Linked DNA regions of Diceros bicornis minor. The protein of the gene in region 1 purifies or fractionates together with the protein of each later gene. This does not show direct contact. Links are inferred from orthologs where the notes say so. Each region holds a gene or a part of one and is shown on either strand. Other genes may lie near its edges. The genes, in order: STAT3, PIAS3, PTPN11 and TRIM59.

Region 1 (7,810 bases):
AATAGCATATAGAGATAGAGACTAACAGGCTGTGAGCAACTTTAGGTGGGAGTAGGTAGACAAGGCCTCTCTGAGCAGGTGAGACCAGAAGGGTGAGAAGGAACCAGTGATGCCAAAGCTGGAGAAGGAAAAAGAATGGTATATGCAAAGGCCCTGAGGTGGGAAATAGACTGGCTGGAATTTAGTAGATAGGAAGGAGGTTGGTGGGGTAGGCAGGGCCTTGAAAGGGATAAGAAAAAGGAGAACTCCTTTATCCCAAACCCCATGGAAAGTCACTTTTTTTTTTTTTTTTTGGTGAGGAAGAGTGGCGCTGACCTAACGTCTGCTGCCGATCTTCCTCTTTTTGCTTGAGGAAGATTGTTGCTGAGCTAACATCTGTGCCACTATTCCTCTATTCTGTATATGGGACTCTGCCACAGCATGGCTTGACGAGTGGTGCATAGGTCCAGGCCCAGATCTGAACCAGCAAACCCTGGGCCGCTGAAGCGGAGCACAGGAACTTAACCATGCCACCGGGCCAGCCCCCGCCATGAGAAGTCACTGAAGGAACAGAATGTCATGATATGAATGATGTTTTAGGCAGCACAGAAAAGAGCTTAGCCTTGAAAATATTGAGTAGGGAGGACTGCTCTTCAGACAGGAGGAAAGAGAGATGCATGATGATGTCTGAGAAGTGAGTTTTTGCAGAGAAAGTAGAGGTCCAAGGAGTTCACGTTGCACAGATCTGCTCTTCTCTGTGATTTTAGTGAGGGGGAGCTGGGCAGCACTGTGTAAGCCTTTCTGTTGCTTTGCCCCCATGGGGGCTCCCATCACCCACGAAAGTTGTCCCTTGCCCTCTCTGGTCACTGCAGTGACTTGCCACCATTTACTGCCACCAAGGTTCTTCTCCAAATCTTCTCTTCCTTGCCATGCCCTCTTCTTGATTTAGAGTTTTACTGCTAATTCCTCCAGGGAAGAGAGAGTAAATAAAAATTTTCTAGAACTTAATAAAGTCTGATCAGTCTCAGTTCCTGATCTAACCCCTACAGTCCTGAGTCTCTCTGAGGTGATAATGGAAACCTATCCTGGTTATGTATTGCTGTGTAACAAACCCCCAACAGAGTGGCTTAAAACAATGACAACATTTGTTTTGCTTATGAATTTGTAATCTGGGTAAGGCTCAACAAAATTGGCTCATCTCTGCTCCATTTGGCCTCCATTAGGCTGGCTTGAAAGCTGGGGCTGGAATCATCTGGAGGCTGGCTCACTCACAGTTGATGCTTGCTGTCAGCTGGGCCCTAGCTGGACTGTTGGCCAGAACACCTTCGTATGAGCTCTACATACAGCTTGGGCTTCCTCACAACATGGTGGCTGAGTTCCAAAGGTGAGTGTCCCAAGAGAAAGAATTAGGTAGAAGCTGCATTGCCTTTTATGACCTGACTTCAGAAGTCATGGCAGCATCATTTCCGCTGTATTCTATTTATTAGAAGTAAGCCACTCAGGGAGTGGAATTAGACTCTACCTTTAGATGGGAGAAGTGTCAAAGAATTTGTGAACATGTTTATAAACCACCGTAAACTCACAGGGCTTCTGCACTCTGTCTTTATTCACTTGATTGATGAGTGGAGAGTGGGGACCTCACCTTTTCCCCTCCTTTACACCTTTCCTTGGGGATCCAAGAGGAAGGTTAGGTCTGGAGATATAGCCAAGGAAGAGCAGCTATTCAGGCCTCGAATTAGACACACTTGGATTTGAATCCTGGCTCTGCCATTTATCAGCTCTGTGTTCTTGGGTAAGTCACTCAACCTTGGGTAAGTCTCATTTTCTTCATCTGTAAAATCACAGTATTCTCATGGGTTTATTGCAAGGATTAAATGAATTAATAGATGAGTTACATAATACATAGTAAACACTCAATGAGTGTTAACTATTGCTGATATGATTATTCAATACGTGTTTATTACTATTTAATTAACTCAATCTTAGGTGAGTTCTGGGCTAGACGCTGGGATTGTGAAAATGACTATGAAGGGATTCAAGCTTCCAGGAACCTAAAGCTTAGGGGGAGATGTTTTCAAGCATGTGGGCAGAGAGTCCAGGATTTGGAGTCAGCCAGAACCAATTCTCATTCTGAGTTTGCCCGTAGTTTCTAGCTGTGGGAACTTAGACCAGTCTTTTTTACTTTCTCAGCCATAGTTTCCTCAGTTGAAAATGAGAATTATAATAGAACCTACCTCACTGAGTTCTCAGGAGGATCAAATGAGATAATCTATATAAAAAGCTTAGCACTGTTCCTGGAACATGGTAATTACTTAATAAATGTTAATTATTAATTTCATTTATCAGGAAGTAGGCTAATAAATGGATATATTACAGTCCAACGTGGAAAATGCTCTACTAGATGGGGAAGCAACCTGCTAAAGGAGTCCAGCAGAAGAGATTAACTTTGTCAGGAGTAATCTCAGAAAGCCCAGAGGAGGTGAGGTTGGAATTGGGCTTTGAAGAATGAGTAAGAGTTTTCGGGCAGGGAATGAGGAAAGAGAAGATATTCTGGGTGAAGGGAAGAAGATCTGCAAAGGCATGAAGTTATAGGTGTCGACATGTTTGGAGAAAGGTGATAAATTCAGTGTGGGAGTATAAGGTGTGTGGGATGGAGGGGTTGAGGCTGGAAAAGGGAGTTCAGGTCAAAACATTGGCTCAAGAAACCTGCTGTCTTTATGCCACACTTGGTAGAGTGTAGAGAAAGGCCACTGGCTGGGCTGGAGCAAGGTTTTGTAGGTGGAACAGATGGACTCAGGGGTAGATTTCATGTGTGAATGTGAGGCAGGGCAGTGAGGGAAACAAAGGCCAGCTGCTGAGGAGTCAGGGGAGGAGGGCAGGGTTTGAGTGGATGGAACAAAGTTATGGGATGCAGAGTCCAAAAACCTGCCTCTGAACCCACCTGGGATACTTCTGAGCATCTCCATGATCTTGAGATTGTCATACTATTGTGGCCTTCGTTTCCTATCAGTAAATAATATGGCCTCTCCTATCTGCTACACATAATTGTTGTGAGAAAGAAAAGAGGTGATGAGTATGTAAGTGCTTTGTAAGCAGTAAATAACTAAACAAATATTAGACCCAATGCTATTAGGGAGGCAGTCAACTGCATGGAATAGCACAGCTAAAGCAGAGTTTAGGTGAAGTGGAAGGTGGGGGATATCTGCCCTGGGGTGAAGACAAAGATAAGCACAGCGATCAATACACACAAACACACACACAGACACACACACACACTACAGACAAATACAGCGTTTTGCGTTTTCCACGTTGGGCTGGGTCTACAGGAGGGCAATTGGAAACTCTCAATCCCACCACCAGTGACCCCACCAATTGTCCTATAGATGCTCTCACCTGTCGCTTGGACATGAGGTGGTCCAAAGGTCCAAATCTGGAGTCTTTGGCCGGGCTTCAGGTGTCTGGGGAACCATGAGATTTTGTGAGCAAAAGCTCATGCTGTATAATTCTGAGGCTAAAATCTGTAGTCTCCAGCAGACTGAGAAGGATCTGTGACCCCCCACAGGTTAAGGGTCATTGATTTTCTCACCAGCAATTAATAAGAATAGCTATCCTAGGGGAGAAGGACTGGTAGGAGAAGGGCGAAGATTTTCATTTTCAATTTTCGACTTTTCTGATGTGTTTGAATTTTCTAACCACTACCATGTGTTAGTTTCATTGAAAAAACTGCCATCAGGGGTTGTCTGGGTGGTGAGATAATGGGCCCTTTTTAGATTTCATCTTTATACCTCTTTATATCAAACAAACACAACAAATACTAATAGCTATTATTTTTTAAAAACTCTGAGAGCGTCAGCACACATACAAATCTCTCCATTATGCAAAGTACATCCTCTGTTATGTAAGGTAAAATGTCTACATTTCCTATAAACTACTAGCTTTAATGCAGTAAAACTTGCATTTGAAGTAGAGGAGATGAGACGAAAAAGAAAAAGGCAGGCAATTTCAACTATTTCAACTCAGACGCATAAAAATAGCGTGTCTACGTGTCAATCTTCATATGTACTGTTTTCTGCATTCTCCTGAACTGGCCACTGTGCGAGCCGTTGGCGTTTGATGCTTGAAGCGACGGAACGGAGGACAGGGTTAAATCCACTACCCTCTCCCCACGCACTCTAGTAATTACTCTATTTCCACGTCATGTTTCCGGGTGTGTGTGTCCCAACTCACGCAGAAACTGAAGTTCAAAGCAGGCAGGAGTCACCCATATTCTTTTTGCTGTCCCCAGAAACCCAGTTCAGGCGTTGGGCCCCCTGAGGATCTGGCGATACCTGGGGACTGTCTAACTGGCTGATTCCCACGTGGTAAGTGGCTCCCAACCTCGCCCCCACGTGGTGTTCAGTGCCGGGAGAAGGGAGAGCAGGCAGAAGAGAGCCGCATCAGGGGCATTTAAAGTGTCTTGACGTCACGCACTGCCAGGAACTCAGCTGAGTTTTCAGCAGGACATTCCGGTCATCTTCCCTCCCTCCCCCCGGGCTTCTGCGCCCAAAGCCTCTGCTCTTCCCTGTTGTTGCGGAGGGAGGAGCAGTAAGCCTTCGGAACAGCCAGCATAGGGGCGTTCCCAGCCTTGTCTTGGCTCCGCCCTTTCAACCAGAGGCTCTCCTCATTGGTCGGTGGGTGGGGCTTTGGGTGTCCCGCACACGCACTAGGGCCTCTGGGTGGCCGAGAAAACTGGCCGTCTCATGAATTATGCAGCAGCGGCTTGTCCCGGCCAGGCTGGGGCTGGGCGGGGATTGGCTGGAGGGGCTGTAATTCAGTGGTTTCCGGAGCCGCGGCGGCGTAGACCGGGAGGGGGAGCCTGGGGTTCCGACGTCGCCGCGGAGAGAGTGAGCCCGAACCGGATCCTTGACGAGCGCCCCAGCACGGCCCTCTCTCTCCGCGTCTGCTAGGAGAGGCCCCAAGGCCTGAGGGAGACCCGCGGCCTAACCCCGGCGCAAGCGCAGCCCCGGCCTGTCGGGCCTCAGCCCGTGAAACAGGTGAAGGAGGTGAAGGGTGGGGCCGCCCCCCGACGGCCCCCAGACCTGGGGACCCCGGGGATACCGGAGGGGCCGGAAGCCTCTCGGGTGTTTGGGGGAGCTGTGGATGGAAACTTCAGCGGAGCGGGGGATTACGAGGGGACACGGAGGGTCGCTCTGAAGGGACAACTCCCCGGGATGACAGGAGCGGGCCTCTGAAGGGACAGGGGGCACTGGAAGGAAGTTTCGTTCTTTGGAGAAAGGGGGGACGCCGAGGAAGAGGGAGAACGGGCTGGAGGGGGAGTACCTTGGGGCGAGGGCACCTGGGGTGGGGGTGGCAGGAGTGAGGGACAGCCCCCCGACTTCCTGCTCCCTGGGGCTCTGGGGACGTTCCGGCCACAGGAGCGACTGTCACGCCGCGGAGATCACCGGGAGGGGGGGTTGGAAAGAGCCTCCTCCTGTCCCCCGGCGGGCCTGGCGGCTCCCGGCTGAGCCACTTCCTCCGCCTTGCCCTGTTCCCGCTCCTTAGGAGCCAGCTCTGCCGCTCTGGAGGTGGGAATAGGTGTCTTCCCTTACAGCCTCACAGGCTGGTTGGTTGTGCGTAGGATTATTGCATAAGAATCGAGTTTCCTGTAGGGAAATTGACAGTCTCGTACTCTTTCTAAATTCCCTCCCGTCTTTTTCTAGGTTAAACCGTGCTTCCCTCCTACTCCTTCTGAAAAAACATAATAAAACCCCCATCAAGCCAGCTCTAGAGAGAAATAAACCTCTTTCCTCCTTGACATTGTTCTTTTATAAACACCTGGTACATTCAGCCAGAAGATAAATAATTGAGCCCTTGCGTTTACGGGATTGTGGTATTGCTTAATTGAATAGGACAGAATGAACCAATCGAGAGTGGGAGTTTTCTGTCTCAGAGCCAAGATCTTGGGTAAACGCAGAGGAGAGGGAAACAAAGACAGGCTGGCCTTGGCAAAGCCATGTGTGCAAACTTTACCTGTGTTTGGGGGTGTGGTTGGGCTTAAGTTAATAAAATTCCAACCGTCACCCAAGTTGCTTCTCCATGTGTAGTACACATACATCCCTCTGTGTTGTATCAAATGGGTGTATGGTGTTGACACACTTTTTCTTATTAAAAATGTATCTAACGTACCTGCTGGTTTTTATTGTGTGTGCATCTAAAGGGTATATTTATTCTGTGTATGGGATGTAACTTTGGGGCTGACTGTGCTGATAAAGCATTGATTTCAAGAAATCAGAACAGTAAATCATCTCAGTCTTTTATATGTGAATTTAGACTGTTATGACTTGATTCTGCCAATTTTCTATTTTATTTTATATTAAATGTGTGTGTTCCCTGAGTCAAAGGTTATTTCCTTATTACATGTGCCAGACTGGAGTAGTAGCAGAATTTTTGCTTACACATTTGTATAGTGGGATGGGAGGAAGAAGTCTGCAATACAAAAAAAAATTGTTGTAGATGTTGGAGGGCTGATCTTAGCTTCTATATTTGTTAGCACATCCCCCACAAAGAACCACTAGCAAATTCATGAATATTTTACTTTTATATGTAGTTCTTTTGGGAAGAATAACTATTTAGAACTATCCAGTTATGACTTGACCCACAAAAGGTAAATGGTTCATATAACGTCAACCCCGTTTTGGTAATAAGGAAATTGAGAACAAAGGAAAAAGACCCTTGCCCAAGGTAGCAGAGTGCCGTAGTGGTAGAACTCATCCCTTCTGTATCTTTTGTGTTCTTTGACTATCTATGCTTAAGTATTAGGTCTTGATTTAGAGTGAGTGTAGGCCCTGCTGGGAAAAGTGTTACTGAAATTCTAACATATACCTAGACAGTGAAATACTACCAATAGGTTGTAAGACTCCAAGGGTGATAGTTAATAAACAGGTAAAAAAAGAAGTACAAATCGGGTTTGCTTAGGTTATTTTTCTGTCTAACTGCTATGACTAACATGGGAAGTGACTAACTTTTTTTATTCTTATTGTTATTTTTTTAATGATTATTTTTTATTTTTTTTGTGGAGAGGATCAACCCTGAGCTAACATCCATGTCAGTCCTCCTCTTTTTGCTGAGGAAGACTGGCCCTGAGCTAACATCTGTGCCCATCTTCCTCCACTTTATGTGGGTTGCCGCCACAGCATGGCCTGACAAGCGGTGTGTTGGTGGGCGCTGGGGATCCGAACCCAGGCCGCCAACAGTGAAGTGCGCGCACTTAACTGCTATGCCACGGGGCTGGCCCCTGGAAGTGACTAACTTTTTAGTTGGCATAATTTACCATCAGAATTTAGCTATTTGCTAATGGAAAGAGATATTTATTTAGGCAAGCTTGTAGGTGAAGGATGGTCGTGACCTAAATGTCCCTTAAACCAAAGTGCCTTGTGGCTTGATCAGTGGTCATTTGTGTCTCCAGAAAGTTGCTGTCTTCTCCCTGCCTCTGAGTGTCTTGACATTCAGATGTGAAGTGGGGCAGAGGTAGGGACCATCACTCCAGCTGCTGAGTCCAGCACCTTTTTATCTTATGGCTTTTTCAGAGGTAGTGTACAAATTAACAAATATTTACTTTTTGCATCTTTGTGAAAGTTGCTATGAAGAATAAGATGCCTTAAAGGTTCACAGAACTTGCAGTCTACTGAGGCAACTTGATAAATGCTTTATCCATACAATGCAACATGTCCTCAGAGAGATGGTGAGACATTAGCCTGCACTGTCCAACAAAGTAGCTATTATATATTAAAAACATATAGCATAGATATAGAACGTTTCTGTTATCATAGAAAGTTCTCTTGGACAGTGCTGC
Region 2 (7,160 bases), on another chromosome or scaffold:
TCTCCCAGGAGTATCTGTCATACCCTTATTTCATTTGACCCCCAATGGGAGCACAGCAGGGCTAGGAGGGAGGATCAACTCACCTTAGCTGCACCTGTATGGTATAATCGCATTTGGCTCCTGGCAGAACCTCCCTATAACAGGGAGGGAGAAGAAAAGATGTCAGTATGTGACCCCAGAGGGCAGGGGTGAACAGACAGAGACACAGAAAGTTAGATGTCCAGGGGATAGAGAAGAGGCATACAGGAGACAAGTCAGGTACAGGAGGATGGATAGGGAGGAGAGCAAGGCAGAAGAGAAGAGTCAGAGAGCAGAGTCCAAGGGTAACCCCCTAGGATGGGGCAGGAGGACTGAAAGAGATGTACCTGGATGTGAGAATCTGCTGCACTTGTTGGGGTGTGAGAGCAAAGGTAAAGTGTGCTTCCTCAAACCGCTGGCTAGAAGTGGATGCTGAGGACACAAGGGGGCAGTTATTCCCAAGCCCATGCTCAGGCAGCCACAGAATTTGCCCCCATCCCAGGTTGCTGATCCCACAGGACTAAAACCTAAGAAAGGCTTGGGGAAGAGGCATGGAGCCCAGGAAAGCTGAGGCACCACAAAGAGTCGTACCAAGGGTGGTGGGCCGGATGAGCTCCCCGTAGACTTCATAGAAAGGCAATGGTTTCATGGTGACATCAGGGTGCACAGGCTGGGGTAGAGGCGGGTGCATGTCCACTTCACGCTTGGGGCCCAGCAGGGTGCCAGGGGCCAAGAGGGCTGGGGGAATGGGAGCTAGAGGACCAGGAGAGCCTACAGGAGGGGTGCCAGGGGGCAGAGAGAGCAGGGAGAGATCAGAGGGCCCCAGAGTCTTCCTGGGAAAGCGTCGGCGGTAAAGCTCTTTGATCTTCATCTGGACGCTGGGGGCACAGCTAGACTTGAGGAGGTGCAGGGCCTTGGCCAGGAGCTCGTGCTTCCGTCCACTCTTGTTCCGCCCAGCAAAGCCAAGGAGCACCTGGAGCTCAGACACCCGGAAACTCATCACCATGTGCTGTGGAGAACAGAGAAGCTTGAGAATCCTACCTTGCACAGGCCTGTCCTGTCAAAGATGCTGGGGCTGAGCTACCAGGTGGGCGATGCCTCTTTGCCTCCAGTACTGATCAGAAAGATGCTTTGCAGCCAGTGGATTACTGCCAGACAGCCGACCTGGCCAAAGGGACATCTCAGTCTCATTTTAGCAACCTGAGGTCAACCTCACCACTACCCCCTAGAGCTTGAGCAACCCCATCTCCCCATGCCTGCAAGTTGACCAGGTGGGGGCAGGATGTAGGGTGCAGATGGCAAGCCACCCTCAGGCACACCTCTGAGTCCACTACAGCCTCCTACCTCCATCCCTGCCTCAAGTCTGGACTCTCCTTTAAGCTGCTTATCTCCTCTCCTGCTCTTTCTCAGACTCCCAGACCCATCCCAGACTCCTGGGAAGAGGATAGGAGACAAGGAGAAGGAGGGGGAGAAGAGGATTCAGGCCAGACAGTCCCACAAGGAAGAAAGGGGCCAGGTGGCTGGAGGATTGTGCCTCACAGCCCACCCCTCCCAATACCTCAATCTACCTCAGCTATTTTCCCCAAGCCTCTGGAGCTTTTGTGGCCAGGGTTTCCAGGGCAGGCTTCAATGCTCATACCTCCCCTAAATCCTTTCTCAGTGTCATTTTTCTGGGAGGGAAACAAGACCAAAACTTGAGGCGAGGGAGAGTGTTAGCAGTGAATCACCAAGTCCAGGTATCCTACCTGTTTACTCCATCTCCTTCTTTCCTACATAGAGAAAATAAGCGATCCTCCTCCTCCATAGGGATGGAAGAGGAGAGGGCAAAGCTCTCAACATAGGCCGTGGGAGAATAAGGAGAAGATATGTGGGCCCTGAGCCAGGGTGCAGAATCTCGAGCTCTCCTAAAGGCAGCTGGGCCCAGTGACTAGACCTCAACCTGCCCAGGACTGTGGCTCCATTTCAAAAGGTGGAACAAAGGCAGGAGGCAGAGGGGTGAACCCAATGGTTTAAGAGGTGTCCCATGAGATGTCCTTGGATATGGTCACCCTCAAGACTCTGTGCCCTCATAGTGGGAGGGCACAAAAAGCTTTCTCTTTAAAGGACTCCCTTCTGTCATTCTCTAGGAGACCCTGCCACGGGCAGACCTTGTTAGCCCTCCACAGTTCTTCCCCTCATAGGAAGCATTATACCTTTGGGCCCCCTTTGAGGAATGTGATGAAAAACTTGCTCCTCTACCTTTCCCCCCATCCTTATTTCCTCTATACTGTCTTTATTTCTCCATTAGCTTTGCCAAGAACTTCCCTCTTTTCTATCCTCTGTCCTGCCCGAAGACTCACTAAGGCAGGACCTTCCTCTCAGCCTCCAGGATGCTCCTGCCCCACCCCTCGATCTATCTGCCCGCACAGCCCCGCCCCCTGGATCTCAGCCGCCTACTGGTTCTTCCCAAGGCTCGGATCCCAATAGAAGCCCCAAAGACTGTATCCTCTCAGCTGCATTTCCCCAGGAGCCTCCCGTACATCTGCCTCCCAGTTCCATCCCTACATCTGCCCCCCTACTGTCGCATCTCTTGGCCCCCTATGCCACTACAGAGCTTTTCCCCCTAGCCCTACCCCTACATCTGCCCCTACTACCAAATCCGACTCCTACCCCGTGTCCCCGCCCCCTGCGCCTCGGCCCCCAACAGCTGCAATTCCCCTCGGCCCCACCCCTACATCTGCCCCGCGGCCCCGCCCCCGGAGCTTCACCGCAGCCCCTTCCTCGCCCACAGCCACTTCTTTCCCATCCCCAGCAGCCAGTCCCCGCCACGTCTCCAGCCCGCACCCGAGCCCTCAGCACCCAGTCTCAGTCGCTTCCCTGACTCGGCGTACCGCCGAGCTCAGTCCAGATGGGGATGGGGGAGGGGGCCGGTACCTTTAATTCGCCCAGCTCCGCCATCTTGAGACATCGCAGGAGCCGGAGCCCGAGCCCCAGCTCAGGCCCAGGGACCGGCGCACAACTCTCCACCCCGGCGCCGGCCGCAAATGCCGCCTGCTCCGCCCCGTCCGGCCCCCTACACCTCCCCTTCCCGACCCCGCCCGCCTGGTTTCGGACAAGCCCCGGCCTCAGCCCCTCCCTCCACAGCCGGACCCAGCCCCTGCACGTCTTTGGCCGGTATGCAAGACCCGTAGACCCGGAGGGAGGGTACGGCCCGAAAGATCGGGGGGTTCCCGGGGGTAATGGAGAGGAGGCGGACCCGAAGTGCCTGGGGGAGGGGGACTTTGCCACGCCAGAGTTGGGAGGGGATGAGCTTTTAAGGAGCCAAAGATACTTGAAATATGGAGGGAAAGTATCGAGAACTGCTAAATCTCAGAAATGGGGGAGGGGGTAGCGAAGTTAAAGCGAATACCCTCATCTCCCTCTTTACAAGTTTAACTAGCTAAAATCAAGAGTTCTACCACTCGGGAAATGGGTGAGATCTGACCCATTTTAGGGAAGCTATGGAGTCGTGAATAGTTCATTTCAAGACGGCTATTCTCAATCCTTCGTCCTCCCTCCCCCCTCCTCCCCCACTACAATGTAGCTCGTGGTCCGAGCGCAGCACTCAAACCAGGCAGCGAAAAAGTTTGGTGCGGAGAGCGGGACTTACCAGCACAGTTGCAGGGAGCGGGGAGGGGGCTCAGGAGGCTCAGAGGGTGGGCTGGGGATGTGGGGGGAGGGGGCCCGGCGCCGCTCCCGCAGTCTGAAGGGCTGGAGGTTGGTCCGGCAGCTGGACGCTGCAGCCGGAGCTCCGCCTGGCGGGAGCTCCGCCCGGCCCACCGCTCGGGCCGGGGCCGCCCCCTCCTGGGTGAGCCCGCCGGGATCGCCAAGATGGGGGGAGGAGGCGGAGTCTGGGGCGGGAGAGGGAGGGACCCTGAACCTGTCGCTGGAGAGATTAACTCCTCGAGTGAGTGGATCAGGGGAGACGACGTTCTTGCATCTCGTCCTTCTCACTATCGCTCTGACCCCTTACGCTGGTGTACGGGCTTGGGGCGGAGGCATGCTGCGGATAAGACAGTATGGACCGGGGATCTGACCACATTAAGAGATTCCTACTTGAAAAGAGACTTCTAGCAGCCTGGGCTGCTAGAATCCGAAGTGTACCTAAGCCCAACTTTACCTGTGGCCGCCACCTCCTACCCCAAATACACAGACCGTCACCAGAGACCACACACACTTGGTGTAGCTGAAGGTGAACAGAAGGGAGGTTTTCCAGGCTAATCGCTCACATACAGGTGCCATGAAAGCACCAACTTTAGGGCAGTTTACCCAAACTAGGTCCTGGAAAAACGCATAGTATTTTATAGTTAGTTGGCTGGGACCTAAATGATAATGTCATTTGTTCAATAAATATTGGAATGCTGTTCAGAGATTGTTGGGTGCTGAGGACATCAAAGCCATGCAGGAGCTCTCAGTCTAACAGTAGCAGACAAGACAGTTAAACCTATAATCAGCATAGGAAAAGAGTACTTTAATAAATAATATGAATAATCCTCTCATTTAGCTTAAACCTTCAGTATAATCCTTCCCGTGAGACCCTACTCACACCATAAAACTAAAAGTGCCAGCCTGCCAATATCCCCAGGTACCTGTTGAACTGAACCATGCCCAACTACTTTGTGGATTTTGTCCGTAGGGAAAATGTCCACCTTCTCCTGACACTCAGGTTCTTTCCTTGCTGCTTTGCTGCCAGCACTGGTGGGACCTCAAGATAAACTCAAGCTCAAGTATTTGGTTCTAAATCCCAAGTGATTCCTCCAACACTTGAGTCTTAATCAGGCCCTGAGCTCATTTTCTTTTTTGTTCTGTATAGTCCTCTAGATCAAAAGTTATTGTGGACTAGTTTGTATTTTCTAGAGTTTTCAGTGGTTTTGGGGAAAGGAGGTTAAGGAGGATGAAAAAGAGAGGGGAACTCTGGGGGTGATGGATATGTTCATTATCTTGATTGTGTGATGGTTTTATGGGTGTATACATATGTCAAAGCTTATCAAATTGTACACTGTAAGTATATGCAGTTTATATTGTGTGTCAATTATACCCCAATAAAGCTGTAAAAATGTAAAAATAAAAAGTCAACCTCACCTTGATTCCTAGCGATTTCATAAAGGAGGGATCTCCTTTAATAGTTAATTTGAGGTTATAAGTTCTAGCATCCCTATGGGATAGCAGAAAACTAGGAACCCAGGCACCTGAATCTAATCGTGCAAGCTCCAGGAGGACAAGAACTTTTCTGTGCTGTTCACTCTATCCCCAGTACCCGGCACATAGTAGACTCTTTAAATATCAATTTAATAAGTTAATCCTACCAGATAAAGGAGGGAAACTGCAAATCAGGGCCAAGTTCCAGATGGAGGACATTAGAAGACATAGTCTGAATCCCATCATGGCCGACCAAGCTTCACCTGCTTTCACCCATGCACTCCTACGTCTGAAGCCTGGGGAACAAGGGGGAAGTGAAACAGGAGTGATAAGTTCCTACTGAAGTCCTATTAAACAGCCCAGGAGGAAAGGGGGGACCGTTAGGACTAGAGTTACTTTGGGAAAGAAAGATTTATTTATGAAATCAAGGAAAATTTCAGGGCTCAGCGTTGTTGGGGTAACAGTGTATGGGGTTGTATAGAGAGAGATTGGGAAGACCAGGGTCTGGGGAAGGTTCCACTCCTTTATTAAGATTAACATCACTGACCATTCCCGTAGCTCAGCCATCCTGGAATCAGCTTCCAGGGGCCCCAGAGGGAGCCAAAGCCCTGGCTTCCATTACAAAAGCTGTATCCTGACTCATACTTGAACATAGCCAAATGATCTCCCCCTCTCTGGACACTTCTCTTGGCAGTTTCTTCATTCTTTCCCCCCAACACTCCATATATAATCAGGCATGCAACAGTCCTTTTATATTCTTTGGTAACTCTAAGAACAGGAAGGAAAAGAGAGGTTCTGTTCCCCTTAACAGAAATGACTTGGACCTTTTTGATGCTCTTCCTCTGGCAGCTGCACTCTTCCCTTTCTCCATCAAGTCCTCCTCTCTCCATTCCCCCAGCCTTAAAGCAGTCCTGTGCCCAACCACACAAACCCCAAAGCTGACCCTCATCTTCTCTAGGACCTGATCTACATAGCTGCTCTTTTTCCTGGCCAAACCCTGGAACCAGGCTCCGCAGACCTTGTGTGGCCCCCTGCCTTCCACAGCAGCCCCTCCCCATTCTTCTCTCAAAGCAGTCTCTTTACTGCCAAACCACTGCCGGCTGACCCAGCATAACCCAGCAGGGGGCGGGCTGAGAGAAGGAATGGGGAGGGATCAGTGTGTGGGCCACCAAACCGCAATTACAGATTTTGGAGAAACTCACTGCCTCACTCTCACCTAGCAGTCTGGCTGGTGGAGGGGCAGGAAGGGGAGGAGACCCAGGGGAAGTGGCCAAGAGAGATACATTTTTTTAGTGTGAGAACAGAACTGGAGGGAAGAAGCCAACTCTGATATCCCTTCATCCCTTTTCCAGGAATCAGACTTTTCATCCCTCTTTGCACCTGGGGCAAAGAACACTGACCACATGAAACCATGTGCCTCAAATCTAGACACATCGTTTAACACATAATAGAACACTTTAGATTGTACATCCTGAAGAAAAACCAGGTCTCTCAATCTCTCCTTGAAAAAGATAGTAGACTCAGGAGTCCCAAGGTAGAGAAAAAAGATCAGAGCTGTGTTGGTCAATATGAGACAAATTTGAGAAAGAGAGGAGTGTCAATCCCCACTTTAACGGAGGGCTGTTTTTCAAACTGTGGGAATGCTGTTTTTCAAAGTAGATCTTGACCCATTAGTGGATGTATTGTGACCAATATTTTTTCGGTGGAGCATAGTAGCAGAGAATAGAATAGAATAGAAATAGTAAGGGTAAATATTATTTCAGGTATGTACACAGGATGCAAAATGTATTTCTTACTGTGGGTCATAATCAAAGTTTGAAAGCTGCTGACTTATGAGGCCATTTGTGATCAAAGAGGAATGAAAAAGATTCCTTCCGTCACAGCCCTTTAGACAGAAAAAACAACACCCAGCACCATCCTGCCTCCTGCTTTATTTTCCATAGCGCTGGCTTCCATCCACACTGCCTCTGGTCTCATCCATGCTG
Region 3 (7,035 bases), on another chromosome or scaffold:
ATCAAAATGAAAAGCCTCTTTTCTTCAAAAGAGATGGTTAAAAAAGTGAAAACACAAGCCACAGACTAAGAGAAAATATTTGCAATTCTGATAAAGGTCTTGTATCCACAAGAAAGAACTCTCAAATCTCAATAACAAGAAAACAAACAACTACATTAAAAAGGAGGAAAATATTTGATCAAATAGACATGTCACCAAAGAAGATATACAGATGGCAAATAAACACATGAAAAAATGATCAACATTATTAGTCACCAGAGAAAATACAAATTAAAACTATAATGAGATACCATGACATATGCAGTAAAATAGCTAAAATTTAAAAACTGACCATACCAAGTGTTGACAAAGATGTAGAGAAACTGTAACTCTCATATGCTGCTGGTGGGAATGCAAATGGTATAACCACTTTGGAAAACAGTTTGGCAATTTCTGAAAAAGTTAAATATACATCTAATATATGATCCAGCCATACCACTGATAGGTGTTTACCGAAAAGAAAAGAAAGTGTTTGTCCATACAAATATTTGTACACAAATGTTCAGAGCAGCTTTATTTGTAATAGCCAAACTCTAGAAACAATCCAAATGTCCATGAACAGGTGGATGGATAAACTGCGGTACATCCATACAATGGAATATTACTAAGCGATAAAAAGTAATGAACTATTTGACACACACTACAACATGAATGAATCTCAACATAATTACGCTGAGCATAAGAAGCCAGACACAAAATTCCATTTATATAAAATTCTAAGAAATGCAAACTAACATACAGTGACAGAAAGCAGAACAGTGGCTGCCTGACAACAAGGCAGGGATTATAAAGGCCCAAGGACACATCACAAGCCGTGATGGATATGTTCATTATCTTGATTGTGGTGACAGTTTCATGAGTGTATACATATGTCAAAACTTATCAAATTACACACCTAAACATATGCAACTTATGGCATGTCATTTATACCTCAATAAAGCTGGTTAAAAAAATAATAACACAGACCTACGATCTGAAAAATAATAATAAATAATTCCCAATTATGTGTGTTATGTGCATAATCTGACTTTTCAGGTAGCACACATTTCTCTTCTGTAATAGGTGAGTAAGAAACACCAGGGCTGGAGAGGAGGAAGAATTACTCTATTTCAAACTGTCATCTTTACCACTTGCTGCCTTGGCTATACCCACACTTCCCGGCCTATACACTAACAAGCTGGACAATGCAGGGTCTCTTACCACCCAGTCCCTTCCCTACCCAGCCCCCAGCCTTTCTGTCTCCTAAAGAAGCAGATCCTTACTTGTCTGGAAGAGCAGACACAAGGAACAAAAGGCTCAATGACTATTTGACAGATTAAAGAATAGACAACTGTTTTATTTAAAAACTCCCTAAAGAATTAGAACATTTGAGGCTATACACTGTTCTGCTGAAATGCAGTTATATATTACCCAGATCTGTAAGCACTTGCCAACAGACCTGTCCAAGTCACTCACGTCCTAAGAGTTTTCAGTTTTCTTTTTTCTCCCTCTTTTCATTCCAGTTTCACGAATGAATAACGTGCAGGTATATCCTGAGAAGACATACCTAACATTTTGAAAAGTCTCTCATTCAAATAACCCCAATAGCTTGAAATAGTTTTTCAAATGTCTAATATAGTGACCGTCACAGGACAATTAAGGAAAAGATTAAACAATGGGTCTTATGTGTGAATCTTATATAAAGAGTAGGACACAAAACAGCAGGATCATTATCGGAAAACAATACGTCACGCTACCGTTGAACAACAAAATTAAGGCCTACAAATGATTAGCAATAGTTATAAAAGAATAATAGCAATATGGTGATTAACAGCGGGGATTCTGGCCCCACCACTTATTGGCTGAGTGATCTTAGGCAAGTTGCCTAACTTCTGAAACTCAGTTTATGCATCTTTAGAACGGAGACGTTAGTACCTACCTCAAACGGTTATTGTGAGGATTAAATGTGTTTGGCTTACTGTGAGAGCTAAATCAGTGTTGGCTATTAGTGGTATTATTACCCTGCACTTGCAAAAGATCTCATTAATTCGCTAATCCTCCTTATGACTCAGAGTCAAGTCCTGTCATTTACTAGCATGTTATTGCTGAGCCTCAGTTTCCACATCCGTAAATCGGGGGTGATTAATGTTACCTGACTTTTAAGGTTGTGGTGAAGGATTCAATAACCAGAGATACAGCTCCCTTCCCTCCCATCTCTCAAAGCGAACAGTGCAGAGGAAGGAAATACTTCTAATAGCTGCAGATACAGTCAGTTTTTCCATTTCTGGCACGTGAGGGGTGGGGGGAAGGAGATGCAAAGAGGCACATAAAGGGGCCAGGGATGCTGAGCGAAGCCCCCAAAAGCGCGCGACCAGCAGAGCGACGCCGAGCAGCCCGACCGCCGGGGCCGGGCCCCGCGCCACTCCCTCCTCTTCCCTCCCGCGTCCCGGGCCGAGGAGCCTCCCCAAGCGAGTGGGGTTATTTCGGAATCACCATGAGGCAATTCTCATGAGGCAATGGGTCAGGAATGCGGCGCCGAGCCGGGCCGCTGGCGCCCGCCGTTCCCGCGGCGGCTCTACCTGGCCCCGTCCTGCCGGGCATCCCCCGGGCTGCGGGAGCCGGAACTCGGGGAGGCAGGAAATGAATGGGAACCCGAGGGGTGGGGGCGCGGCGGGCGCAGGCCCCCGGCCCCGGGAGGGCGCGGACGTCGGGAGGGGCCCGCCCGCTGACCCCAGGCGCGGGCCGAAGCCCGGCCGGGGCGCCCCCTCCCGGGCGGGGCTGACCGCAGGCGGCGGGGGCCGGGCCGAGGCCGCGCCGGGCCCCTCGGGGCTCCTCACCTCCGCGATGTCATGTTCCTCCCGCCCTCCGGCTCCGCGACGGACCCGCTCCTTGCTCAGGCTCCGCTGGGCCCGGTCACATCGGGCTGGCCCGAGGGAGGCCCGCTCGGGACCGGACGGGGGGCAGAGCCAGCCGGCCGCGCGCAGACCCCCCTCCAGGCCTGGGGATCCCGGAGACTGTGCAGCCGCCCCCCGAGTCCCGTTCGCTCCTCCTCCTCCCCCGCCCCTCGCCGCCGGCGCCACTCTGACGTCACCCCGTGCGACGCCCGCCGCCACTTCCTGCTTCCAGTCCGCCGGGGACTGAGCGGCGGCTGGTGATGGCAGTCCGGTGGCTCGGTGGGGCCGCCGCCGCGCAGTTCCCAAAGCACCTCGACGTCCTCCTTTAGACCTTGGCCGCAGGGCGTGCGCCGCGCGCTCAGTGCTGTACGCGCTCCCGGGAACCCATGCCTCCGCTTCCGCCGTGTCAGTTTCCATCCCCGACTGCCAAACCGAATTTCATTCATTTCATTCCACACATCGCCGCTCTGCTTCCTGGCTGTGTAACCTTGGGAAAGTTGCCTAATTTCTCTGAGCCTCAGTTTCATCCATTCCTTCATTTCTGTAAAATAAAGATAGTAATTGTATTTTCTTCGTAGGATTGTGGGAATTAAATATGTAAAATTCTTAGAACTAGGCCTGGCCTGTTTAGTAAGTGCTTTGTAATTGTTCGCTGTCTTTTCATTACAATTAAACATCTGTTGATTGTTTGCTATCTGCTAAGCACTGTTTTAGATTATGGGGATATGAACAGAAAAGACAAAAATCCCGTGCCTGTGTTCTCGAGGGAGGAGCTACAGTAATCAAGATAAGTAAAATACTCAAGATAATACTCGTACCCTCCTTTCTTGTCTTTTCTCCATAGCCCTTTATATTATCGTTTTCATTAGGGTAGTTAGGGAAGGCTTCACTGAGGATGACGTTTGAGTAAAGAACTGACGCTGGAGCAATCTATGGGAATAACTCGAGGGAATAGCATTTCAAGCACAGGGAGAGAGAAGTGCAAAGGCCCTGAGGCAGGAGGCTGCCTCCTGTACTATTTGAAGAACAATGAAGGGATCTCTAGCTAAAGCACAGTAGAAAGTGGGAGGGGTGAAGGGAGAGTAGCAGGAGATGAGGTGAGAAAGGGGTAGAGATAGTATAGAGTCCTATAGGCTATTTAAATGAACAGTAAAATGGAAAGCCATTGAAAGATTTTCAGCAGAGGAGGACTATAATCTATGTTTTAAAATTATTATTTTAGATATTCTCTAAGGAATCAGATCAAGAGGGCAAGGCTGGAAACAGACCAGTTTGGAATACTAGAATTCTGTAATATTCCAGGCTGGAGATGATGGTGGCTCCACCCAGAATGAGAAGGTAGAGTTTTTACTTGATGAAGGCCCATGTGACTCATTAAAGGTCACAGATCTAGTAAGTGGCAGAGTCAGAATTGGAACCTACATCTATGTGGCTCCAAAACCCTCATTTTTTCCTCCCAGTGCTCTCCAGCTCACTTCTGATAAATAAATGGCAAGCAATAGGACATATTGGAGTATATGAGGAAGCCATTTGGTGTAAAACTAATTTGGCCTGACCTTGTTTTTCCAAAAAGGCCTGATGTGGCTTTTGAACATGCATTGTATATCTGCTTTAAGCATTTACCACGTCCCGAAGACAAGAACAAATGCCCTTAAGATAAGGATGTAACTTCCCCCACATTGGTATTTCCTTAAGGATAAGCTTTTCTCCCTAGGCTAGGATTTGATTGCTGTCCTCATCTTGTGACCACCCAACTTGAGACAACAGACCTGGTACCTGCTGTGCCCATCAAGACAGCAGACCTGATGCCTGCTGTGTCCATCAATCGCTGTGCCAACAGGACAATCTTGTGATTATTGTAAAGGGACATCGCAATCATATGTGATACATGCTCTTTGACCGTGTATAACTGCTCCGTACACCCCACTTCTTTGGTGCCCTTCCTTCCTTGGGGAAGGAAGGCCCCGGGCTATGTGGTCCTCAAATCTGGCTCATAATAAACTCACCCCAATTTTGATTTATAGATTGATTATGGATTATTTGCATTGACACTTCTATATGAAGAACTCACATGCAGTGTGCTAACTGCTTTAGCCTTGTTACAAAAAAATCCTTACAAAAATTGTCTTTAATATATGCCAATTTAATTTAGGTAATAGGCATTCAACGAACAGTTGCCCAGGCTGTTTCCTTCCATTCCTCCTAAATCCCGGCCACCTAGATGACTCAAAGAAAATCCTAAAGGATTTTAGCCTGCACGCTTGCCCTCTCCAATCCATTCTCCACATAATAGCCAGGGTAATCTAAAATGCGGAACTAGTCACTCCCTACATTGCATATACTTCAATGGCTTCTCATTGCTTTTAGGATGAAGTCAAAAAACTTTTTAACAACCACCTGATCTGGTTCCTGCTCACTTCACCAACCCCACTCTCCCCACCGCTATGACCCAGTCATGCTGAATGACTTTCAGTTGTTCTCAATATGCCATGCCCTTTCCCAGCTCAGGGTCTTTAAACAATCTGCTCCCCCTCCCTAGAGAGTACTATGTGACCCCCCCCTCCCCATGAACTCTAGTCTACGCAGATCTCAAACTAGAAGTCATCTCCTCTGGGATAGGAAGACTTACCTGATTCTCCCAGTCTAGGTTAAGATGGTCCCCAAGACACCTATCCTGGCTTAGAAGTGAACACACTTCATTATAAATCTAAGACACAGTATCATGTGGGGGATAAGTTCTTGATCTCCAAAACTCAGCCTGCCTGCCTGGTTGTCCCCAGGTAAGTGACTTGACTCCTCTGTGTCTCAATTTCCTTCTCCGTGAAATGGAGGGGTGAAAATACTACCTACAACATAGGGTAAGTTGTGAAGAATAAAAGGGTTAATGATTGTGAAGTATTTAGAACAATGCCTGGCAAAGTAAGCACTTGGTAAATGCTGGTTATCATTTGTCTCTTTTCCAAAGTAAGCTGTAAGCTCTTTGAATACAGAAACTGAAGCCACGTACCTGATGGTTACTGTAGCTATTCAATAAGAACATGATTGCCTTTTGACCTTGTTCCCAACACAGACATAGATGATTTTTGTCAATTTGCTCTTTTCTTGTTTAACTTGAGGAGTGACTGATTTGTGAGTTTGTTTTGCAGAAGAAAGAGAATGCCTTCAGGGAGGTTGCAATCTCCAGACAGCCGGCCCCCAGCAGCCATTGCAGATTGTCTTGGGGCTTATCTGGAGTGACCTGTTTGTTTCTCCAAAGCTCCTCCTGGCAAGCCCATTAGCTCTATAAAAACTCCCCTCTTTTTGCTCTGATTAAGGCAGATTTGAGCAAACCGGTGCTCCCACCTTCTCATCTTGGCCAACTCAAATGGGGCCTTTCTCCATCTCCAAGCCCGATATCTCAGTCAGTGTTTGTCTTGCTGTGCATCAGGCATATGAATTTGAGATTAAGAGGTTCAGTATCAAAACCATTGCTTCCCCTGTCTTTCCTATAGTCTATACACTCTGCAGCTAGAATGATCTTTCTAGAATACAAATCTAATCATGTCCTTCTCCTGTTCTATGAGGGAGGTTCAAAGCCTTTAGCACTAAATGAAAATCCTTCCATTAGCACATCTGGCCCTTCTAAATACGAACCATGTCTACCTGTTCAGCTTCATTTATCCCCACTTCCTCACATAATCTGGCAGTTTCCAAAGGCCTCTAGCTGTTTCTTGCATCCCTGTATTCCAAAATTTAGTTCCTTCTGTCTGGAATGCACTTTAAACCCATCTCCAAATGGAAAAGTAAGTGTCAAGCAAGATATAGCTCCAACTCAATCAACTTGTGCAGTAAACATTCTCTGCACACACCCCTTGACCACTTCCTGAGAATAAAATAGAGCCCTCCTCTCTATGCTTTGCGGGCTGCCTGTTCATGCCTCTATTGGTCGGCAACACGGTTCAACATCATTGTTGATTGACTGTTCTGCCTCTTCCCTTAGATTATGAGCTCCTTTTAAAACAAAGTCACTGTCTTCTTCATCTTTACATGCCCAGAGCCTAGCACACTGCCTGGCATAGAATAAGCTTAAGAAATATTCATTTAGGGCCGGCCCTTGGCTTAGCGGTTAAGTGCGCACGCTCCG
Region 4 (7,726 bases), on another chromosome or scaffold:
AAGGCATTAGTCAATCCCAGACTTGTGTTGCTTGCCACAAATCCCACCATTCTGAGTATAGGAGACAGAGATCATCATCTGAAAGGGTGTAGAACAGATATGACTAATGGGCTTCTAACTGTGAGGTGGGCAGCCACTCTGCTTTGTATTTACAATAGAAACCCCTCCACACACCCTAGAGCAGGTGAAGATCACCCATGAGCAGCTCCAACTGTCCGGTCACCAGTCAGCAGCAACCTGGGGAACTCCACAGCTTCAGATCTGACCTACTTTTCCCAGTTTGCTGCACAGTCAGTTTGCAGTGCAATCCCTCTAGACTGTAGTTACCTGACATTACCATTTAGCTGTGCTATACCTGTACATCAGCTCACTGAGATAAGCAACTCAAGTACAAGATCTGTGTTCTCTGTAACTTTCATGCTGTCCATTTATTAGACAAATAAATAATATTGCTGTGCTGAAATGGATTAGAGAATCACACAAGACTATCAAAATCAAAATTTTATGATTTATAAGAAAAAATTCTTGAAATTCAAAATGTTTAGATAATTAAAATAAATGTGATGATGGCATAACAATTACAAACAGAATGTCCTAGAAAATTGCATATTAACTGCCTGAATCAAGAGATTCCCCAAATTTATTTAAGGTAACAGCCACCCACAAAATTGAGCATTTAAAGAAGCTAGTGGATGGGGCCAGCCTGGTGGCATAGTGGTTAAATTCGCACGCTCCACTTCGTTGGCCTGGGGTTCGCAGGTTCAGATCCCGGGCGCAGACCCACACACTGCTTATCAAGCCATGCTGTGGCAGGCGTCCCACACATAAAAAAAAAAAAAATAGAGGAAGATGGACACAGATGTTAGCCCAGGGCCAATTTTCCTCAGCAAAAGGAGGCGGATTGGCAACCGATGTTAGCTCAGGGCTAATCTTCCTCACTAAAAAAAAAAAAAAAAAGCTAGTGGCCAGAAAAAAAAGTTAGTGGCATTTGAAATAAAATGATTCTTAACGAGAGACAGTAAATGAAAGGGAAACTAGTTAGGAGGTAAACTACTACTGAGCAGAAGACATTCTTTTAGTCTTCCAAGTTGCATTCAGAGATACAGCTGAAAAATGCTGTGTGAAAATAAATTCTATATAATATGTTCTAGTGCTTAAGACTGTATAGGTACTAATATCAAATTTGGGCTCAAACTCAGTTTAAGGCAACACCAATATGGTTGGTAGGTTTTTCTTCTCTGAAAATGAAATTTTTCTAGGTTGCCTCTAAGATCTCTTCCAAGTCCAAATCCCTGAGTCTGTGAACTCTATTGCATCATATAGCTGGGTGCTCTTTTTTTTTTTTTAGTAAAGAAGATTGTCCCTGAGCTAACATCTGTGCCAATCTTCCTCTATCTTGTATGCTGGACGTTGCCACAGCGTGGCTTGATGAGCGGTGTGTAGGTCTGCGCTGGGGTCTGGCCCCCTGAACCCTGGGCTGCCAAAGCGAGCACATGAACTTAATGACTACGCCACCAGGCCGGCCCCCAAGCTGGGTGCTTTTTTCCCAGGTAAAATGACCTATGAACTGTCAGGCAGATTCTCCTAGCTCACTGTCCTTGATTCACTGCCACTGTAATCATGGCGGCAGTCTCGGCTGTGTTTTCTTTGAAGTCCTAGAAATAAACCACAGGTGCCTTTAACTTTGGAAAGTCATGTGTTCTCTTTATTATAATTCTGATGAGGCCAACGTGATGGGAGACAACAGGAGGGTGCTTAAACTCTGTAGCTATTAGAACTCCAAATCAGAAAGTTAGCTTGCCTACAGGGCACTTCTCTGTGACTGTGACTGTTTGGGGGCTTGAGATAGAAGATGTCTAAGCAGGGAGCCTGACCTGAGCACCCAAAGGTTGTCCTAAAATTCATGTTTTATTGCCTCCTGTTCATATAACCTGTTAATAACTGCAAAGGTTTATCATTTTTTAACCTTTTCCTACTTTCTTTCAAAAGGAGATTGGTGCAGGCATATAGGCAGAGACCCAAAGCAGCTGAACTTCCCTCTCCTCACCTTTTTTTGGGTAGCTGAGCACCTTAGCACCTCAGATTTTTAAGCTTATGGTTTTAACCACGTACTTCTGTGTCTGAGTGTTACTTCTTTGTCCAACCTTTCCAGGCCAACGTGGTCTTCTGGAGAGTGCCTGAATCACAGTCCACAAACTCAGTATGTCAAGTTGACTGCCATTGGTTTTGTAGGCTCCTGTAGCTCTCTGCTACTTCCTGGTCATGCTGGGTTACAGAAATCTTTGGCAGAGTTGGGAACCCATGGGCCACTAAAGCAGTCTCCCTGGAGCCACAGATGTAGGCCCTCTTTTTTGGTGTCATAGCTTCCCTCCACCAGGACCTGAGTAATTTCTACCTTGGGGCTATCATACTTCTCTTTTTCTGCTTCTTCCAAACATTCAGCTCCCGCATTATCAACGTCCCCCACCAGAGTGGTACATTTGTTGCAAGTGACGAACCTACATTAACACATCATAATCATCCAGAGTCCATGGTTAGTTACCATTGTGTTGTTTCTTAAAAGAATAATTCTATAGACGTATAGTGCATTTATTGCTATGGAAAGATATTCACATCATATTGTTCTGACAGGAAGTTAAGAAGCTGTTTATCAGGATGACTCTAAAAATAGAAAATGTACGTGCATAAAAAAAGTCGAAATGAGCATGTACCACCACACAACAGTGCGCATAGCGCTGGAATCCACACATGATAAGCAACCTCGTCAGTAGCTGAGTTGGTGAAGACATTTGAGATTGGCTCAGGACTCACTGATATTACCTTAATTTCTGTTTCATACTGTGTTTGATGTGCTTCCTGTATTTTACTGTATAAGAGCCTAAGACCTGGACGCACCCGCACCACGCAGTCCCCCAGGGCTCACAGACGATTTAGCACGGCGGCAGGCGACCTTTAGAGGCAGGGGAAGCTGTGAGGGGAGCGCCTTGAGATCGCGCTGGAGAAAGCCTCTCAAGAAAAAAAGGGAAAAGGACTACTGAACTGTATGTTTCCTGATTCTAGGGGGTTAAGAAGGTGAAATAGGAACTCAGTGGAGAAACTGAACTGGAAGTCAGGAATTCTGTGCCCCAGTCGCGTCCTCTCTGGGCAACCACTTCATAAAGCGGGACCAACGGGAGGCAAGGAGGAGCAGGAGACCGTCCTGAGGGGTCCTCGCTCCGCCAGCTCGCGGAGCCGGTTCTCCGGAAGCACCAGGGGACGCTCCGGGGTCGGGCGCCCAGGTCCCTGCCTCTCCGCGCGGAGGCCGCTCGCCTCAGAGGAGGTCGAGCTCGCCCGCTGGGTGCTCGCGCCGCGGGCGGGCGGAGACTGCCGGCGCGGGGACTGTGAGGGGACAACGGAAACACTGCGCTTCGAAGTCCAGCATCACAACATGCGGCCTGGCTTCTAGGGGCCTTCTTCGTGGGGAACGTCGGCCGCCGCCCCAGGAGAGACCCGCCCTGGGGCGCGGCCGCCAAAACCCGGCCTCTGCAGCGCGCCTCGGGCCTTCGGAGAGGGGCAGGCACCCAGGGCGCAGGCGCAGAACGCTGCCGGAGTCTCGCGCAGAGTCCTCGCGATCACGCCCCGCCCTGGCGGGCGCAGCCGACCGTTTACTTTCGAACCGCGGTCCCGCACTTTCCCATTGGCCAATGCTGGGCAGTTGAATGTTGCGCGGAGACTGCGCCTGCGCCCTCAGACCCGCGAGGCCCCGCCCGGTCTGCACGCCTGAAGTCCCTGAGGGCGGAGGGCGCGGCCGCCGAGCGTGTCTCCGCGTGCCCGGGAAGCGGGGAGCTCGGTTTCCGTGCGGGCGGCCCTCCCCGTGTTGAGGCCGAGGAGGAGAAGACGGCTCTGGGTGCCTCTTCCCCGGAGCACAGGCAGGCATACAGGGTGTGTTTGCAGGGAGTCGAGGGTCGCGAGGCGGAGGTGGGCTTAGGTCCTGACCCGCTCCCTCTTGTCCCAGAGGGGACTTGTCCTCCCTCAGGTGGCACTGCCTTTCCGGGGAGCAGCCCGCCGTAGCGGGGAGGGGCGAGCGGGCCTCCAGAGGCCGGGCGGCCGCGGGCTCGCGGGGGAGGCGCGTCCGGCGGCGGCCCGGGTGTCGTCGTCGACCCTGGGGAAGGGGAGGCTCTCCTTCGAGAGGGGCTCTCGGGGCTTCGCGGGAGGAGGTGTGATTGTGCCACGTCACACGTGCTGAGAGGCAGCAGGGAGAACTGACCCAGGGTCCCACGGCGTTTACGTGGCGGAACTGAGAGATGAACAGACGTATTGATGGGAATAACCTAAGTTAATATTTATAATTTTAAGCTGGCAAAATCTTGGACTCCTGTGGAGGCTTCTTGTCTTCCACTTAACTTGAAGCAATCTGAAATGACCACGAACGTTTGCTCCCTCATCCCCATTGTTGACTAATATTGTCGAGAGCTCAGGAGACACTGGACGCTATAAAAAGAGGTCCTTTGTGACAATTGATTTGGTCACAGAATTGTTGGGATTTTCAAGGTACGAGTGATACCTGTCCTGCTGCTCCAACAACTGGTGATATTTGTCAGTACTTTTCTAAAAGCACTGAGGTGTAAAGAAGGTAACTGTCAAAGACAGTGAAAGAACCATTCCTGTGATATCGTATTTAATATATTTTTTGAGGATGTAAATCTAAAACATTAAGGTAAAATTGTTTTAATTTTAGAATTAGAATTGAAAAAGCTGGAGAAGCTAAAGAATATTCAGTCTCCAAGCTAGAAGATCAACAAAGTAGGTAAGCTCTGGGAGACTAAGTGAATATGAAAGAAATCTTCAGTAAATTTTTACTGAGTGTATGATTTAAACTGTAAGTGAAATTTTTAAATCTTTTGAAAAAAGATGTACGTTGGTGTTGTATAAAATTCAAACCATATAAAAGGAGCATAAAGTGAAAAACAACTCCCTCTTCTGACCTTTAAGTCGTTAACTCTTGTATACTCTTTTAGAAATTTTACAAGGATGTGTGCATCTTAATACACGGTCTCATTTTATACATACAGATCTTTAAATTGCATTTATTAAGTTATCTGGACACCTTGTTATTATGTATTTAGATATTGATATGTGTTCTGTTTTAATGATCAAGTAGCTGTCCTTTGAAGTAAGGTACCATAATTTAACTGCTCTGGCAAGGTGAAATTTTGATTTTAGGTAATGTTACTTTGAACATTGCCTTTCAGCAAACATATTGCTGAATGTTTTCCACCAGATATATTTTCACTTTGAAAAGTATAAACAAAAGCAATGAAAACCTTAACTTCTCATTTCAGTTCCTTGTTAAATTGCATTAATAGTTTCTTTTTTGGTTTGGGAAAACAGGTTGATGTCAAAATGCAGGAAAATAGTACAAACGGGCACAGTTAAAATCAGATCTGACCTTAGGATTTTTTTTTTTTTTTAATTTGAAAGAGTTATGGTGATCCTTCATTATTTTTTTATATTTATATGTACAAAAGTATTTTTAAAATCTTGCCCTATGTATATATATGTAGCACAGTTGTAGTATTTCTAAAGTAAGTCTTGAATTGTATGAAATGTGCGTTTTATCAGTTAGGGCCACAAAGATGTGAGCCCCAGTCTGGCTGTTGGCACCTCTTGAATTTTCCCAGACTTAGAGCTGACTCACACTGTAAGTCCAAGAGCAAGCCATCCAACTCTATAATGTGGTCAATGTAATTTCTTTTCAGAAGTTGTAAAATGTAATGAATGTGTTATAATCATTGATGTTTAGAGATGAAAGGCAATACCACATTAGTGAATTAAAACTTAAAAAATAGTTTACACAGGAGAACGGGTAAGGATATTTTTGGTACTGCTTCATTCTCCATCATCTATTATTAGCGCTGACCATCCATAATATGCTGGTTAGACATTGTGGAGGCTCCACAGGAAATCAGCCCTCTGGAGAAACTGCATAAAAAGTTTACAAATTCAGAAGTGTGTTTGTTTTTGACACTTGAAAACAAGAAATTTGTGAAATAATTTACAAGTAGATGATTTAGCTTCAGGTTTCTTTCTGAAAAGATTTATTTTTTATATTCATGTATCTTAGTGACTTTTAAAAGGGAAGCAGAAAGCCTTGAACTAAGTTATCAATTTTTACTTGGGCTTTTAGTACTCACTGGAGGAAAATAACAGTTTACACGGGTTACTTTTATTTTACTTCTTAAAAGTGTAAAATAATATAAATTGATTCTAAAATTAATTTGGCAGAGGAAAGGCTGGATAATAGGCAAGACACTTAAAAAATTTTAAAGTTTTAGACAATTCCTGCCCTATTGCAGACTCACACATTGTAATGTATAGAAAAGTATTACAGAATTCTTTTAAATAAAATCCAGTTAAGTGCTATGAAGTAGAAGTGCAGATTAACAGGGGACCTAATCTGGGGAGGAGGCGGGGCTCAAATTGAGACTTGAAGAATGAATAAGAGTTTGGTTTTGCAAATGGTGAAGATAAGGAGCATAGAGCTAAAAAGTCTAAATGGTGTTTTTTTTTCCCTAATTGATGCCTTAATATTTTATAACATTGTGAAATTTTAGTTCTACGTTATTATTTGTCAGTCACCATATAAATGCATCCCTTCACCTCTTGTGTCCACCCCCCAACCCCCTTGCCCCTGGTAACCACCAAACTGTTCTCTCTGTCCGTGTGTTAATCTTCCACATGTGGTGATCATGAAATCATGCGTTGTTTGTCTTTCTCTTTCTGGCTTATTTTGCTTAATATAATACCCTCCAGGTCCATCCATGTTGTTGCAAATGGGACAATTTTGTCTTTTTTATGGCTGAGTAGTATTCCATGGTGTGTGTGTGTATATATATATATATATATATATATATACACACACACACACACACACCCCACATCTTCTTGATCCAATCATCAGTCATCAGACACTTGGGTTGCATCCACATCTTGGCTATAGTGAATAATGCTGCAATGAATATAGGGGTGCAGAAGCCTCTTTGGGTTGTTGATTTCAGGTTCGTTGGGTAGATACCCAGTAGTGGGATAGCTGGACCATAAAGTATTTCTGTTTTTTATTTTTTGAGGAATCTCCAAACTGTCTTCCATAGAGGTTGTGCCAGTTTGCATTTCCACCAGCAGTGAATTGGTTCCCGTTTCTCCACAACCTCTCCAACATTTATTGTTTTTTGTCTTGGTGATTGTAGTCATTCTAACAGGTGTAAGGTGATATCTTAGTGTGGTTTTGATTTGCATTTCCCTGATGATTAGTGATGTCGAGCATCTTTTCATGTGCTTGTTGGCCATCTGTATCTCTTCTTTGGAGAAGTGTCTGCCCATTTTTTGATTGGGTTGTTTGTTTTTTTGTTGTTCAGTTGTGTGAGTTCTTTATATATTATGGAAGTTAACCCCTTGTTGGATATATGGTTTGCAAATATTTTCTCCCAGCTGGTTGGTTGTCTATTCATTTTGATCCTGGTTTCATTTGCCTTGTAGAAGCTCTTTAATCTGATGAGGTCCCCCTTGTTTATTTTTTCTTTTGTTTCCCTTGTCCGAATAGACATGGAATTCGAAAAGATCCTAAAGAGGTTTTTATGTTTATTAAAGGTACAATTAGTTATTTGTAGATCTCTTCTCAAACTTTTGATCTTAAAAGTTAGTTTTATAGAGGAGGATTTGGAAACCTTTATATTTTACATGAATGGCA

The links.
Region 2: the proteins of STAT3 (region 1) and PIAS3 purify together in Homo sapiens (affinity purification with western blotting; 5 studies listed by BioGRID). This does not show direct contact. The link is inferred for Diceros bicornis minor from reciprocal best matches to the Homo sapiens genes STAT3 and PIAS3.
Region 3: the proteins of STAT3 (region 1) and PTPN11 purify together in Homo sapiens (affinity purification with western blotting; 3 studies listed by BioGRID). This does not show direct contact. The link is inferred for Diceros bicornis minor from reciprocal best matches to the Homo sapiens genes STAT3 and PTPN11.
Region 4: the proteins of STAT3 (region 1) and TRIM59 purify together in Homo sapiens (affinity purification with western blotting; 4 studies listed by BioGRID). This does not show direct contact. The link is inferred for Diceros bicornis minor from reciprocal best matches to the Homo sapiens genes STAT3 and TRIM59.

What each region holds. Positions count from the first base shown.
Region 1 is NC_080757.1:41,524,018-41,531,827, reverse strand, and holds the start of STAT3 (signal transducer and activator of transcription 3), read left to right. Parts: upstream 1-4,802; 5' UTR 4,803-5,012; intron 5,013-7,810. UniProt on the Homo sapiens protein: Signal transducer and transcription activator that mediates cellular responses to interleukins, KITLG/SCF, LEP and other growth factors. Once activated, recruits coactivators, such as NCOA1 or MED1, to the promoter region of the target gene.
Region 2 is NC_080743.1:53,388,539-53,395,698, forward strand, and holds the start of PIAS3 (E3 SUMO-protein ligase PIAS3), read right to left. Parts: upstream 3,019-7,160; 5' UTR 2,956-3,018; coding exon 2,932-2,955; intron 1,028-2,931; coding exon 610-1,027; intron 451-609; coding exon 366-450; intron 135-365; coding exon 84-134; intron 1-83. UniProt on the Homo sapiens protein: Functions as an E3-type small ubiquitin-like modifier (SUMO) ligase, stabilizing the interaction between UBE2I and the substrate, and as a SUMO-tethering factor.
Region 3 is NC_080774.1:10,559,135-10,566,169, reverse strand, and holds the start of PTPN11 (tyrosine-protein phosphatase non-receptor type 11), read right to left. Parts: upstream 3,016-7,035; 5' UTR 2,870-3,015; coding exon 2,856-2,869; intron 1-2,855. UniProt on the Homo sapiens protein: Acts downstream of various receptor and cytoplasmic protein tyrosine kinases to participate in the signal transduction from the cell surface to the nucleus. Positively regulates MAPK signal transduction pathway. Dephosphorylates GAB1, ARHGAP35 and EGFR.
Region 4 is NC_080754.1:66,345,681-66,353,406, reverse strand, and holds the start of TRIM59 (tripartite motif-containing protein 59), read left to right. Parts: upstream 1-4,707; 5' UTR 4,708-4,786; intron 4,787-7,726. Other genes in the region: uncharacterized protein LOC131414636, read left to right, coding at 2,700-2,763, 3,386-3,921, 4,336-4,440. UniProt on the Homo sapiens protein: E3 ubiquitin ligase involved in different processes such as development and immune response. Serves as a negative regulator for innate immune signaling pathways by suppressing RLR-induced activation of IRF3/7 and NF-kappa-B via interaction with adapter ECSIT.